Linked DNA regions of Drosophila melanogaster. The protein of the gene in region 2 interacts with the protein of the main gene of each other region in a pairwise test. Each region holds a gene or a part of one and is shown on either strand. Other genes may lie near its edges.

What was found.
Region 1: the proteins of spin (region 2) and CG9133 interact in a two-hybrid assay, tested with the Drosophila melanogaster proteins (one large-scale study listed by BioGRID).

What each region holds. Positions count from the first base shown.
Region 1 is NT_037436.4:1,250,161-1,258,030, reverse strand, and holds CG9133 (uncharacterized protein), read right to left. Parts: upstream 6,020-7,870; 5' UTR 5,865-6,019; coding exon of another isoform or gene 4,799-5,864; intron 4,728-4,798; coding exon of another isoform or gene 4,308-4,727; intron 4,179-4,307; exon of another isoform or gene 4,038-4,178; intron 3,956-4,037; coding exon of another isoform or gene 3,888-3,955; 5' UTR 3,807-3,887; coding exon 3,707-3,806; exon of another isoform or gene 3,665-3,706; coding exon of another isoform or gene 3,634-3,664; coding exon 2,987-3,633; intron 2,544-2,986; coding exon 2,292-2,543; 3' UTR 2,045-2,291; downstream 1-2,044. Other genes in the region: tfc (triforce), read right to left, coding at 671-869; CG9130 (uncharacterized protein), read right to left, coding at 3,888-3,955, 4,308-4,727, 4,799-5,864; Bfc (booster for Crq), read right to left, coding at 6,399-7,154.
Region 2 is NT_033778.4:16,123,015-16,130,957, reverse strand, and holds the start of spin (spinster), read right to left. Parts: upstream 5,978-7,943; 5' UTR 5,582-5,977; coding exon 5,176-5,581; intron 1-5,175. Other genes in the region: CG30095 (uncharacterized protein), read right to left, coding at 6,381-6,643, 6,706-6,873, 7,261-7,474. UniProt on the Drosophila melanogaster protein: Probable sphingolipid transporter that plays a central role in endosomes and/or lysosomes storage. Involved in TGF-beta-mediated synaptic growth regulation both pre- and postsynaptically via its function in endosomal storage regulation.

The DNA of each region.
Region 1 (7,870 bases), on a different chromosome or scaffold from region 2:
ATATATTTAAAATTAGTAGATAGATTAAGCCGGTGCAAAAGTTGGACTCCGGAGTGAATCTATTTGATTGGGATTCGCTGCTCAGCAGTCATATGCTTATGAATTCTAAAATATTTAAATGCCAAATGGTGCAGGGGAAACACAATTAGCATTTTAATAACAGCCAGTACGTTTTTGGCCGAAATCTGCTTTTTTTTTGTTGTACTACATATGTGAAAATCGCACGATGAGCTAGCGAATTTTAAGTATTATGCAGAAAAAGTAGCGATAAATGTGTGGAGATATTTTATGCAAATCCGATTCTCTTTCATTATGAATTCTATTATGATCTGTACTATTAATAACAAATAACTCGATTTGAAAGATTTTCAAAATAAACCTTGGCGAATGCATTTTTGCATAGAACTTCATATGTTACTTATGTTTTTAATCGCGTGATTGACGGGGCATTCCTTAAGCGCAGAACCCTTGAAATGCCCACCAACATCGACCACATTAGGAAAAGGCTCGATTCAAAGCAGTGCGGCCAAGAGCAATCGTTAGTATTTGCGAACCAATCGAGAGGGCCCCTCGAAGATGTCCATCACAGAGACCGAGAGGCTCCGACCCTGACACGGATGGCCACAATGGGGGCACTTGGAAAAGTGGCTCAAAGGGGCCAAGTACTTACCTCTCTTATCACGGCCATTTCCGCCTCCACTCCGGCTAATGTTGCTGCTGCTGCTGATGTGATTGTTTTGGCCGAGTTGGAAGCCGTGGGGCACCTGGCTGATGGGCTCGGCCACCGGGATGGTGGTCACGGGTGAGTTGTGGCCGGAATCGACACTGGCCAGTGAGATGAGCACTACGATAAGTGTGGGGCGGATCATGATCACCGATTTGCACTCTTCACGCGAATCTTAGACACCAGTAAAAGTTGCAACTGCACTTGGCGGAGACCTCTCGGATGCACGTAACCGAAAACCGGGGAAAGCCAGTCGGCTGTGGTATGCTATAACCTGCGATCTCGAGCTGGAACTGAAAGCCAACTGACCGTCGGAGGTTGGACTTTCGGGTGTCTCTAGATCGGGGGCCTATTTGGTATGCAGCTTCGCTTTCTAAATTATCAAAGTTTTGGGGAAATGTTGTGGTATCTCTCGGATTTAGTTTTTAATATTCAAATACTATGCTTTTCTCCGCCCAACTGTCAACGCTGGATGGGGCGGGTTGAGTCTCTAAACGAGGGCCATTAATTTGCGCCCTCGAATTCGGACTGGGAGCCCGGTGTTCGTCCGATGCCTGGTCGTGGAGGCGAACGCGGATTAAGTAATCGCCCAAATCTACTCCACTCAATTCACTTTCTTTCCGCTTTCGCGGCGAGAGGCAGAAATTGAATTGGATCGAGCGAACTGGAGCGGATGGTCTCTCCTCACTGGTTTTGTGGTCTGTCGTGGACCGATCTCAGAAGTTGCTCACATTCGGGGCCGATCCGCTGAATGGTTAACATCTAGGCTGGGGCACTGCTTCACGATTTCTCGACTCTTTCCTGCGTTCGCACTCGCCGTGTTAACTTACAGACTAAAGCGTTTGAACGCGACTAAAACGAGTTCCTCGCTCGACTCCTCTCCGAGCCACCGATCGGATCGGTCAGCTGGCCCGATCTGCGATCTCTGGTCTCTCGGATCTCTCCCTCTCCGTATAGTATAGTCACTGCAAAGTGACCAAACCGCTAAGCTGCCGCTGCATCCAACGGCGGCTTTTCCTCCTCCTCGATGCTCCCTCCCGCGAAGATTTCTGGCTTTTAATTACAGGTGTGCAATAGATGAAGATGGTCGGATCGGATCGGATCGGCATCAGAGTTCTGCATCGCGAATTGGTTTTGTCGGCTATTTTTAGACCCGCCTCAATTGCAGATGAAACACCTCCGCGGCCTTGACTGGGCAGTTAAGTGCCCTTAATGAAGATGGGCATATACACTTGCAAGCAGATTACTGCGGGTTAGGGTATCTACATCAGATCAATCAGTGAGGGATCAGATCAACTAATCATAAATGGGACTAGAATTATTGTTTTTTTTTTTCTTAATTTTAATTCAATCAAAAGCATACATTTACGTAACTAGTCGAAAAAGTGAGTGTTCGTGCATCTTACTGGACGGGTTAATATGAATGGGTTAGTACCAGAGCCAAATTTCAATAATTGCTGCTGTGAATTTTCAAAGAGTCGCTTCCAAAATGCCAAAGGATGTGTTCCGAAAGGGTAAGCGTCAAGTCCGGTCGATGGGAATGGGATCCGCCTACGGATCTCTTGGTCTACTTCTTCTTCTTGCCCTTGCCCTTCTTGCCCTTGCCCTTCTTGCCCTTCTTCCCCTTCTTGCCACCGGTTAGCATCTCCTCGGAAACATAGGTCTCCGTGGTCACCTTGCTGATCGGAAGGGTTACGGGCTGCTTGGGCGTCCGCAGCTCGATCTCGATGGTATTCTTCTTGTGCTGCGACTTGGCCTTACTTCCCAGTTTTACTAGGAACACGTCGCTGTCGGTCTCCTCGCAGGTCTTGTAGCAAACCTGAAAAATAAGAAAAGCGACAAATCTTTTTAGATACTATGCAACAGCTAACCAAAATAGTCTCAATGCAACGCGTTGCATCTTTCGCAGAAATTACCATAAATAAAAAAGCTGTAGCGGATTGCCACCGCAAACTGAAAAGAGTGCTCCACACTTGGAGCTGGCAGATGTTACGCAACTGCCCCACAATTGAGGCAATCGAAAGCCTTCCCGAAGTGGCAGAAGTGGCATAGTTGCACCACCTGCAACAACGTTTAGGGGGGCAAAGTCACGGACTACCAATCGATCCACATTCCGCATCCGCACACGTAACTGGCGAACTTAAAAAATGGAATGCGGAGGCGATCGGCGATTGTGGTTAATGATTTAAGATCGAACATTCTTGAAATATGGATTTCCTTAGGCCACTCAGTGCTGCGCAAATGAATATAGGATGGACTCACCTCGATACCCTTGCGCCTTGTGTCCAAATTGACACCCTTCATGGTGTCCATGATGTCCTTCCGCTCGACCTGCATGCAACATGATCGCTGGTTCTGGACGGGACAGTGCGCGGGCACGATGGGATCGGATCCGCCGCAGAGTCGCTGGCGGTAGCAGTCGACCTTGGCCTCCTGGAAGTCGCAGGCCTCCTTGATCTTCGAGAAGGGCACGTAGTAGTTGTCGGTCTCGCAGGCATCGTTCCCAGAGTACTTGATATTGGCTCGCACCTTGGGGATGTTCGGGTGGTTGATGATGCGGCCGCCGGTCCGGCGCTTGATGTGGTTGCGAGCGAAGGAGCTGCGCTGGAGCATATCGTGCAGGCAGGACTCCTTTGCGGGCTCGCAGTCATTGGGGTCATCGCGATAGCAGGGATCATCGCCTGCGCCCAGATTGGGCGCAGTCTCGCTGCCATCCATCACGCTCTCCACCTTGTGGGTGTTCTTGAGTACGCGTATGGTCAGACCGCTGCCATTGAGGCAGGCCTCGAACTCGTCGTACGCCTCCGGACCCGGATCCGGCTTGGTCGGCTGGATGAAGCAGGGAGCCAACTCCGGACTGCAGTCGCAATCGCAGGCGCACTGACAGCAGCCATCACAGTCGTCCACATCTGAGGATACCAATTGGAAGGGATGAATCATCCTTAAGCCCGAGCTTCGGTGCAGGGATCCGCGTGTACTTACTCTCGTTCATGGGCTTGAGCATCTCATTGGTGATCTTGAACTTGCAGTCGACCTTTGGCTTCTTGCCCTTCTTGCCCTTTCTTCCCCTCTTCTTGGCCATGTTGTGCGGTTGAGTGATTGAGTGTGTAAGTCAATACAATTATTCACTAGGCTCAAGCTGAAATCTCAATTCCGAAAGCCTTCAATTCTCAATTTGGATATTGTACTTCACCAGTAAGTGGCGCAATTTCCGCACAGCTCGTTTTCGCGCTGAAATGAAAATTGAATTTGGGTTAGTGGATCGCTTCGAAAATTTTTTAACTTGATAGGAAAAAAAATAGTTCGGACGTACTGATTCTCTGTTTTAATTTCCATCCAAAACTCGGGTAACAACAACGAAAGATTTTATTTTTCTGTATTTTGTGCGGCAGACAACATTTCCCGTTCGAATGTATAAAACAAATGCTAAACGAGTGATCTTCTACACCCCGACTACTAGATGTTACTAAATGTTTCGCTGGAGTTACGAGACGTTTGTGTTGTTGTTCATTTCGAAGCCTACTTGGCATTCTCGAAATCCCAGTTGAAATCGTTTTCTAAATACATACATATATGAGCTCACCTTCATCACAGGCCATTTCGTACTCCTCCTCCCGTCCGTTGCACCTGACAGTGGGCTCCTTGTACCGAATTTTCTTGGTCGCCTGGAGGACTCCTGCGCAGACAGGATCGCAGTCTTCGTAGACGGCGGACGGACTATTCTCGTCTCCTACGCGGCAAACAGCACCTCCAGCCTGACGCTTCTTCTTGCCCTTGTCGTCCTTGCCACCCTTTCCATCCTTTGCGTCCTTTCCATCCTTGCCACCCTTTTTGCCATCCTTGTCCTTCTTGGGATCCTTTTCCGGTTTGTTCAAGAGCTCGGCCTGCATCTTCTCCTGGATGAAGCGTGGGTACGGTGGAATTCCGCCGCAGGGACCGCATTTCTGCAGCTTTTGTTCGATCGGCGAGAGATTGCAACGCTTTGTGGGAACAGTGGGGCATTCTGGGAAGAAGTATATACATTACATCATTAAAAGGAAGCATTTATATATGCTGATGATAGATTATAGTCACCTCTATCGAACTCGTCCTCGCAGTAGTCACAGGGACAGAGCTTGTCCAGATTGCACGAGTAGTACCTGAGGCACTTTGCCGGAGGCTCAACTCGCTTGGCACAAGGATCCACCATTGTACAGCGACGACAAGGAGGCTGGGCACACGAGCCCTTGCAGCCCTTCTTATCCATGGGCCCGCCGGTGGCAGTTCCGCCGCCACAGCAGGGACTGCAGGGATCGCACGGATCGCAGGGGTCGCAGGGTGGAGGACATGGTGGGCCACAGCTAGGAGGCGGTGGGCACGAGCCGCAGCTGGGAGGTGGTGGGCAGGGGCCGCAGGGACCACAGGGGCCACAAGGACCGCAGCAGGGCTCCGGGCACTTGGGATTGCGGGAGCAGACCTTGCTGAAGGGGAACGTGGACACAATGGTCGGACCATTGCACACCAATCTAAGGATCAGCACTATGTTGCCAGTCTGCATCTTGCAGAGATTGAAGAGGGGCAGCAGTCGCTTGGACAACTCCGATGTGGGACACCACTGCTCGTGACGTTCGTTCAGCTTCTCGTAGCAGGCACAGTTGTCCAGGAGGCCCTTGCTGGTGGGACCCTTCATCTTGGGCAGCTGGGCGATGTGCCCCAGCATGGCGTCTTCCCAGTCAGGATTCTCGATGTCAAAGGACTCCTTCACCCTGTCGAAGATGGGCTTCACCTTTAGCTCCGACAGTCCTATCAGGAACTTGCAGCTCTCCGTGCGCTTCTTATAGACATGCACCTGCAGCACATCCTTGTCCGTAATGGGGGAGTCCAGAGTGAAGAGGGCGCACTTGCCGCACTTGGGCGAACAGGGGTTAACACACGTGCCCACCTCCCGATCGCAGAGATTCACGTAAACCGACGAGCGGAACGTGATCTCTGTGCAGGTTGGATACTCCTCCGGAGCGCAAAGATTCTGGCGTGTGATCAGCAGATCGTCCACTACGAACTCGAACATGTAGAGGAAGTTTCCTGCAATCTTGGGAGGTTTCTCTGGCTTCTCAGACTTATCGGATTTCTCAGTTTTCTCAGTTTTATCAGACTTGTCCATTTTCAAAGGAAATAATTTTGGCTAGGCTTTTGTTTTGTCGAAACTAGAAATTTATATGCCCGAACACTCGCACTTCCAAAAATTTTGTGAGTAAATTTGAATTTAGATTCTGATTTTGAATGGCCGTCCAGACGGGGAGACTGTGGTGTTCGAACTGCTAAACCGACTGGATTTGCGAGGGCTACTGGAATCGGATGAATTTTGAAAACTTGATTCCTTGATTTTCGATATTAAGATTGTCTTTTAGGCAGATGAGTCTGTCTGTATGTAGATTTTATTACGCCTAAAATGCCTAGTAAGGTCTTATTTCTAACATATATATAAATTTTAATATTAAATTATATTATAATGGACAATAGCCTCCTCAAGTCACTGAAACACCAGAATTGGTATAAAAATTATTCAAATACTTTATTTATAGTTAAGATATGCGAATGATTATCAGTTGCTAGGCGCATCCCTTGTCAAACAATAAAAATGCTTATGGCAACTAAATGAGTACGGAATATAAAGGCTCGCAGCTGCATTTCCTACTCATGTCTTCTTGGCTGGCACGGTCTTGCAAGGATCGCAGGGATCGAATGGCGACGAACAGGGAGCAGGCCAAGTGGGCGGGCAAGGACAGCAACAGTTGCAGGGATCCTTGCACACTGGTCTCTGGACGGGGAAGGAGGATACCACAGAGGGCCCATTGCACACCAGTCTCAGGATCAGCACTATATTGCCCGTCTGCATTTTGCAGAGGTTGAAGAGCGGCAGCATCCGCTTGGTCAGCTCTGAGGTGGGACACCACTGTTCGCGCCGCTCCCTATTCCTCTCGTAGCACACACAGTCATTGGCCTTCTTGCAGGGGCCCCTCAGCTTGGGCATTCGCGACAAATGGGACTCGACGTTACTCTCCCAGTTTATGTTCTGTGAATAGAACTCCTTCTTCACCCTATCGAAGATCGGCTTCATCGGCAGCTCGGTCAGCCCGAGCAGGAACTTGCAGCTCTCCGTGCGCTTCTTGTAAACGTGAATGTGCATCACGTCCTCGTCCGTGATCGGCGATTCCAGCGTGAAGAGGGTGCACTTGCCGCACTTGGGCGAACAGGGGTTGACACAGCTTCCGTTCTCCCGATCGCGGATGTTCAGGAAAACCGAACGGAACGTGATCTCCGTGCAAGTGGGATACTCCTCCGGAGCGCAGAGGTTGGGACGAGTGATCAGCAGATCGTCCACCATGAACTCCAACATATACAGGAAGTTATCAGCAAGATTAGAGCGTTTCTCCGACTTGTCCATTCTCATATAAAAGCTTAAAAACTAGAAATTTGACAAAATTACTATACCAAAGAATTTGTTATGTGTTGAAAACGTTTTTAGAAATTTTCAGTCACTGAAACCTAATTTTGACGAAAAATAAATATGTTGAATTTTGAATTCAGATTTTGACGACGTGCCGAAAAGGAAAGACTGATTTTCGAAATGGATCTATGCGACTGAATGTAAAAGGCCTGCCTACGATTCAAAATATATAAATAAAAAGCTAAGAGCTCTGCATTCCTACTAAAATATCAACAATGACATTCTTTATATGATTAACACCCTCTGGGTAACCTGTACTCTTAACCTTTACTGGCCATCTTTTATGGTTGTCATAAACGCCATATACCCATATCATTAATTACATTTCACCTCCACAAGTAGATAGAAAGACGCCGGTCTGAGGTTTTCTAGCAATGCGTAAAATACTTTATTTAATGTCATTAAATGGTTCTACAAAAGTGATTGATCTACATTGCAGTTAATCGCAGTTAATAAGCGGCGCCTTCACAACTCCACTTCTTCCCGATCGAAACCCCAATCATTCCCCTTTTCCAGCCGCCTGAAGCTCGCCTAAGTGTAAGTGATCTGTGTATATAATGACTAACAAGTTGCAGAAGGGAATGGACTGGGGGGGGCTTTAAGACTAAACAAAAACAGAATAAAACAAAACAGAAATTGAGAGGAAGTCGAATCGATTA
Region 2 (7,943 bases):
TTAAAATAACATTGAAAATGTAAATATATCATAATCATGCTGTTTATAGTCTCGAATAGTAAGTACTGATAAGATCCGCAACTTTTTATCAGCTGAAGGATAGCTTTTCAATTGGTAACAATCGAAGTGTTGAAATATCGAAATATCATTATCTTACTAGTTATTTCGTAGCTCCGATAATCAATGTATCGATCTGATGAAAATCTGTGTCATGATTTGAATATCGATCGCTGCGATCACCTTCGCACACATTTTCTCAGCTGTGTGGTCATGTATTTCCTGCACGTCTCGTCTTCAGCTTTGCGACGTTTAAAAATTCATTAACAAACGGATGTGCAACTAGCGAATTAATTGACAAACGACCTTCGTCAATAACTGTTAGCCGATCTAACGCTACTTCCTACATTCTACATGCAGCTCAAAATAAAAACAAAAACCGCTATTAAGCTCCGTATTTCTATGCGTCTCTCTTCGTACATTGGCCTTTGCGGAATGGCCAAAATAAAATAACTACCTAAAGTGCTTGAGTACCCAAAAATAAACAACGGCCCACAAAATCAAGTGGGCGATGGGAGAGAGTGAGAGTGGGGAAGAGAAGGAGAGAGAGAGTGTCTGAGATCAGAAGCCGGCAAATGCAGCAGCAACAACAATGACACACAGAAAGCTCAACAAGTTGTGCCCCAAAGAAGGAGAGCGAGCGAACGAAAAAGAGAGCCGCAAAGAGACCTCAAGAGAGAGAGAGAGCCGAAGCTCCACGAACCCCCGCGAACCGAAGCGAAACGTGGCACGAAGCAGCCAAGTTGCAGTGAATCAGCCTTTGCTTTTTAATTATTCCATTTTCTGGGTCTTTTCGCTCATTTCGATTTGAGAAATTTATCGTACGATGTTTTTCGACCAATCAGCGTGTTTGTTTGCCTTGCCTAGTGACGTAACGGTTGGGGGACGCCACGCGATAAGTCTGTGTGCGTGTGTGTGTGTACTGCATTGCGATTGTGGACTGAGAGTGGCTGGCGGAGAGAGGCGGAGGGGGGACACAGTGGGGCTGGTCTGGGTGAGGCATTCCTTATGATATATACATATGTATATTTATATTATTGCTATCTCGCACACTTAACGAGTAATCTCATTCCACGCAAGGAATTCCTAATGTTTATGGGCACTTCTTGGCCAAAAACAAAAGAAGTCAAAGGAATACGTAGATACATACATACCTCCCTCTCATTACCATTTTCCCCACTTTTGGGGAAGTTTCGTCAATGTATTTAGTATTAGTATTCTTTTTTAGCCGGCTGCCGCATTTTTAGAACCTGTTTATCTCTCTGGCCAAATTCTCTCTTTGGTTTGTTCTCTCTTGTGCCCAATAAACGCGACAGTGGGATTCGCAATGCTAGGTTTTATTACAAATAATATTTGGACTTCCCCAAAGGTGGAACTTTCTGGAAACCAGACAATGACTAGTGGTATTTACTAAAAGACTCTGAAATGTATGTACGTTTATCTCAAAATAATTTCTATTACTTGAGCAGTACAAATTCCAGAAGTCGAAATTTTGAAGTGTTTTATTTTTCCAATTTCAACGAAGCTTATTACTATAAAAATGCACTGTACTGTGGCCAGAGAAATCTGTAGAACGTTGATCCGTTTAAAAAGCCAATATTTATAACCAGGCAACTGCAGAAGCCACAACAACAAAGCCGGGACTCTCATTACCATGAATGAATGAAAAAGTTGTTTGCGTCCGAAAGTGACTGTTCTCAGTCACTCTCTCCCTCTCTTTCGGCACAACAGCAGTCTATCTCCCTCTGACCCCCCATGTTCTGTGGCGTCTGATGACGTCGGCCTTGAAAAATCGCGCGATATGCAGCGTAAGCTTTAAAATCGGACGATGAATAAACGACGAATTTCTGACAGATATTTCGGCCACGAGTCGAAGTCAAAACCCAAAAAAAAACGAAAACCAAAAAGATAAAAACTCACTGAGGCTGTGACTTTCGCTTGGAATGCATTTGAATGCTTAGCGGAGCACTCGAATTGTGTTTAGAGAAAAACTTTCTTGCTTTCTTTTCGGCGGGCCAGGTGGAAATTAATTGTGAAAGCGGCGGCGCCCACAGAAAAGTGTTCCCCAACCATCGCGTTCCAGACATTCCCTACCCCAACCTTTTTTCTACTATTCTTCGGATAGTTTTTTTGCCTTTCGTTAATTGAATTTGTTGCGGCAAAAAGTGTGCACTGCACTTTGCGTAGGTCGTTGACCCAAAAAACGTATCTTGAATGCAGAATAGAACCATTGACGTTGAATGAGCGCGCAAGCCTCAAACAAAAATGCAAAATACGCTAAGGAAATGTGCATTTGTTACATCCACGCGTTTTGTGTAACCAAAGAACCTATTCAAATTTGAGGCATACGTAAGTAAACTATCCACAAGTTTGTGCCATATTTAGAAATATCGTTTGGACAAATGTTTATGCAATGGAATTGATTCAGTAAATTTCAGTGTGAGTAATTTCACTCAGTTGGTGGTTATTTTCCAAGGGTATTGACAATTTCGGTTTGTCAAGGCTGCATATTTTATATTTTCTTTTCATTGTTATTTCTTTCCCCAACTGCGATGGCAACAAAATGGAAAGTTTTTATGTATCTTTCGCAGAAAAAAAAACATTTAAAGCGAATATATAAAAAACCGAACTCAGTGACTTTTGGGTTTAAACAAATGCAAAATATGCAAAACAAACGTTGAAAAATGGCAAAAAAAAAGTAAAAGTGATTGCAAAAGACTTGAAAATAACTAAAAACAGATATATGTATGCCACCGAAATCTCAACTCGATCAATTGACATAGACAATTATTGTGATCGCTTGCTTTGGATGGGGGCCAAGAAAATTACGTCGGAAGCATAGCAGAACGGCAACTTGGTCTATATATCTCAGCCCACATATCTGTTGACCAAAATAAATGCCAGTTCTTTTTGCGATGATCAAAGTTCGCTGTCGGTGCAGAAATTGAATTTACTGTCAACAACAGAATAGCCCCGCCCCCCCCTTCCCATCCACCCTCACACAGATCACGATCATGAATGAAGAGGGGGGCTTCCCAGTGTTTTTTTTTTTTTTTTGACCGAACGAGGTGGTTACAAAACATCACACCACTACCGTCAGTCGGTCGGTTTTAGCTTAAAAAACCAGGCGAATTTCAGCAAAGTCGGAGGTCGAAGCCAAAGGCCGAGACGCACTTAAAATTATAATTAAATGCATTCCATTAGGTTGGGCAGACATCAGCTGATACACACGTCTATGTGCGCCAAATAAATATATGCATATGTATGCATGTATTTTTGCTTGTTATATACAACCACACGGAAACGTTGCAAATGCCGAAATTCACATTAAATACAAAAGGGCCAAGCAATCAGAGCAGTCAGTTAGCAGAAGCTAAACAAATAATCGCTTGGTAATCTAATCACTGCAAAAAAGTGACCCAAAACACCACGTGCACTGCAGCTGGTGATCCAATGCAATTGATTATGCAGCGCGTCTGGTTTCAGCCACTTCTTGATAAGGCCCAAAAAAGTGGGGGGGGGGTTGATAATGATAACAATGCCACTGGCAGAAATGGCAAAACAAAAACCTTGTGCGACCGACCATTGTTTATATGAGTTTTCTATTTCGCCTTGCGCTCGCAGAATTCTCAAAATAAACAATCAATTAGGCGCCCATGGAAATAATGAAAATTTCCGAGTGGCGAGTAGCGATGTGTGTTTATATTAAATATAATATGTAAACAGCGATTTTGTTTGGCTCGGTATGTAAGTGCTATCGCCCCTTTTCGGTGAGTAATTCCACTTCCTGTTCTGTTGCAAAAAGTCGTATGATGTTTTTTTAGTCACTCGATCCGGTGGCTTTACACGAATCAAAAGCTTATGATTTGCAACCGAAAAAAAAGGGTTGTAAGATCGATTTCCAATTGCCGCTGCGGCAATCAACTGATAACTAATAGCCAGTGATTTATAATTGCAAATTAATTGCAACTACACATACAGTAAAAGACGTTATCACATGGCCTTGAGTGGAAAAGTTCTGCTGACTCAGGAAGAACTGGCTGTTCAGGTTCACGAAGAAAATGCGAAACTATAGCTATAATATACACATATTTAGAAATGCATATTAAACGGTCGTCTGAGGCGGACTTGTACGTATAATAATCAGTCACAACTTGTTTCGCCATGTAACCTGAAACAAGTTTCCAATCGATTTGCACCGCGTTTTGTGTAACTAAGATGTCGCCAGTCGAAGTGCAAGTGCAATCGGTAGTAGTCTCATTTTCCAGACACAAGTAAACAGTGAAAAGAACTTCGGCACTCAACAAGTGTCCAATGAAATGCCGCCCGCATGAATTAAGATCAATTTCCTTCGCTAATGTTCTTAATAATAATAAACTCAACAATTATGTGGGCAGTGTGTCTGTATTTATCGACTGAAACATGAGATTACCCTGTAATTGTCACGCGGGCGGGGGACTTTCTGATCGCCGATCGCAACTACCATTACCCGCCGTGCTAAGCAGGTCAGGTGCCGCCACCGCCGTGCTCACTCACTCCATTTTATCGCACCTGAGTGCTAGAAATAATATACATATGTTTAGGTTTAGGCGAAATGGGTCTTGATTGATTGCCCACCCAGTGGAAATGTCCCGAGTTTCGGTGCAAAGCGAATCGAATGATAAAATGCTCTGTATGAATATTTTTGGATCGCGTGATTCACTTGTAAGTAGATTAGTCACTAATCAAATTCTCTCGCTCGCAATCTTTATGGTACATTTTGTAAACAATGGGAACGCGACGACTCGCATTGTCGACGATGAGGTATAAATTTCAACTGATTAGGTCACAAGTATTGTTGATTAGCGGCTGCTAATTAATAACATTATGATTTTGTCAGCAGATTTTGTGCAATTTAAATGTTTTTATTATTCTTTTGCCTGATATATAAATGAATACATACTATAAGTGCTTTGGGCTGCCCAATCTTTTGGTCACACAAAAGTTGTGATTTTTACAGCGGTCTATAGCAATCTTCTTCAATAGTGTCAACAAATTTTCCTATCTACTGCGGCAACAAGCCCCCCAAAAAACGTATGGAATCCCATAGGACACCCAAAGAGGTATCACCGGACTCACCTGCGATCGTAAAGCGATCCATGTAGTTGATGAGGTTGACGAAGCATAGCACGGTAACGGTGAACCACTGCGATCTGCCCACGCTGGAGAGACGCGATGGCACGACGGCGGATGGTGGTATGCCCGGGATGTGGTGGTGCTCGCCCAGTGGGTGGTGGTGATGGTGGTGGGGACGCAGTCGGTGCCGCTCCTCCTCCATGCTGTCCGTATCCGAGGGCATCAATTGCTGTGACGAGTAGGTCGTAGGCAGTCCGAGCGGCGATAGATTGGCCACATCCTCACGACTCCCGCCCTCCTCAGAGGAGCTGCTCCCACTGCTACCGCTGCTCTGGATCATCGCCGGATTGTCCATGGCGGCCGCCGTTGGGAGCGGTTGGTAGGATTGCTTCTGGTGTTTCAGCGACATTCACCCGATCACTCGATCCTCTCTTCTCTTCTCGCGCTCTCGCTGTCCTCTTTCGGTTGGAAATTCGCAGCAGGCGGACAACGCGGCAAAAAGTTATTTGCACACGCTCTTTGCTCACGCACACAGAGAAACGGGAACTCGCGATGAAAGCGGTTCAAAAGCGAATGCAAAAGAATTTGCTCTTGGGCTGTTGGCACACCACCGCGCTTCTCTTTTATAACACTTTTGCCAATTTGTATGGCTAATTCGACTGTGTACTGAGACACTTCCTCTAATCGCGGTTGTTCTTTAAATGCAGCCAATGCATTTGCAGTGCTTCTCGCTGTTTTTCTTTCTTGTTTCTTCCGCGACGCGAACACTGTTGCCTTTCCAACTGGAGTAAGTGCAATAAGTGTGACCGTCCGGCGACCGCGAATATATACCAGAATCCAATTGGCGATGACAATTTCGATAGTACTATCGATAAACTAAGACCAGCTGCATATCTATCGACTAATATCGGTATAGCTATGCCTATCGATAAAAAACATTTAAAGCAATTTTTAATAAATATTTTTACATTTAATACAAAAACATGAACAAGAATCTATATTAACAAGCTAAGTTGCGCTCTGTTAATTAAAGAATTTTTATTTTGCCATAATATTCTGAGCATTACAGATAGTGTACCACTTATCTCTAGAAAACTGTTGACAACCGAATTTGAATTCAAATTTAAGCGATGATTTTTTGGTTATGATTGTGATGATTAAAATCTAAGTGCGTTACGAAGGTATATGCGAATGAAAAAGAACGATTTCTATTCAATATCCATATCATCTACGCGCCCGCGAACGCGATTCTTGCGCTTGTGTTTTTTAGTGGGCGGTGGCAGGAAACTCTCAAGAAACTCAATGGTATTCAAAATCGTTTCCGAACTGACGTTTCCAATGTAGTTCTTGTCGAAGTAGACGACCGGTACAGGTGGCTCCGTTGAGAGCAACAATTTGTCACAATTACAACGCTGTCCCTGAATTTTTGCATCGAGCGTTTCCACTTCAACATCTGTGTTATTTGATTTGTCTGGAAAGAGGTGCCTAAATAGGTCAATCTATGTCTGAACTCCATAAAGAGTTGCCACCCACCGAATAAGGGACGAAAGCACTCCTTCACCTGAATCCACTTGGTGCAAAACTGTTTGATGAAACTGTCGTTCTGATTGAAGAAACTGCGAGCTGCATTGTCAACCCGGTATTTCATGAATCCAGGCACATATGGCCATTTGCCCTTCGCGGCATAAAAGCATATGATGTCTGAAATGTAAAAATTTAAGCGATTTGTAATTCTGCTAGCCTTAATAAAAGTATTCATATGCTTGAGGAGATAAAAATTTAAATATTTTAGTTGCTAAAGAAGTTTATTCATTGTTTCCTTGCGACATATGATAAATTGTGAAAAAGTATAGCATACTTTTAGGCTTAGCCGTATTCGTCTCTTAAAATGATTTCAATGCGTTGTGGATGTCTTTTAAACTGAAAAGAACTATTGTAAATTGGGAAGATATCACACAGAAACCTATGTTCTAATCCTTGTTCAAAATACAGAGATCTTGATCTAGAACATTCTAGTTAAATGTGGAAAAACTATGGCCCATTCTTGTATATAACACTTTCGATTGCGAAATAGATTGCTTAACTTACAGGGCACATGGAAGAGATGAAGAAAAGTGCGCTGATGCTCCAGACTGGAGATGAGATGAATACCGCTGGACCGCCGATTGGCCAGGGCCTTTCTTCCGGCAAAGGGAATCTCATCCACGCGGACACTCTTCAGATATGCCTCGCCCATGGTGAATAGAAATATGGCTAAAAATAGGGGCAGAATATGCAGAGCGATTTTCCGACGCAGCTCCATTGTCGAACTTTCCACTAGCCAGCAATAAATGTGACTGACGAATGTCCTGCAGGAATTGTCAGACACCTGAATGATTTCACTGCGCTCTCTATTGATTTTAATTGTGCTCGAGGTTGACATAAATCCAGGCAATAGGGATACATTGCATGTGCTAACCCAATTTGCCAGCCACAAAAAGTTCATTGCACTCAAAGTTACATTTGTGGAATATACATGACAACAAACATCATACATACAACAAAAATTAAGTCACAGGAAATGCAGTATGCAAATCATGAGTCATTAGCTAATATTTATATTACTCAATATAGACGAGATAATAATCAGCAGTCACCTGTCAGAACAATTCACTCCGATCTATGAATAATCAATTGATTTACAATTGCAATCCATCTGAGCGAGGAAGAACTACTGAACTATTACGAACACATTTCTCATTGCCGCCACGCGGCGTATACTTAATTTGCTA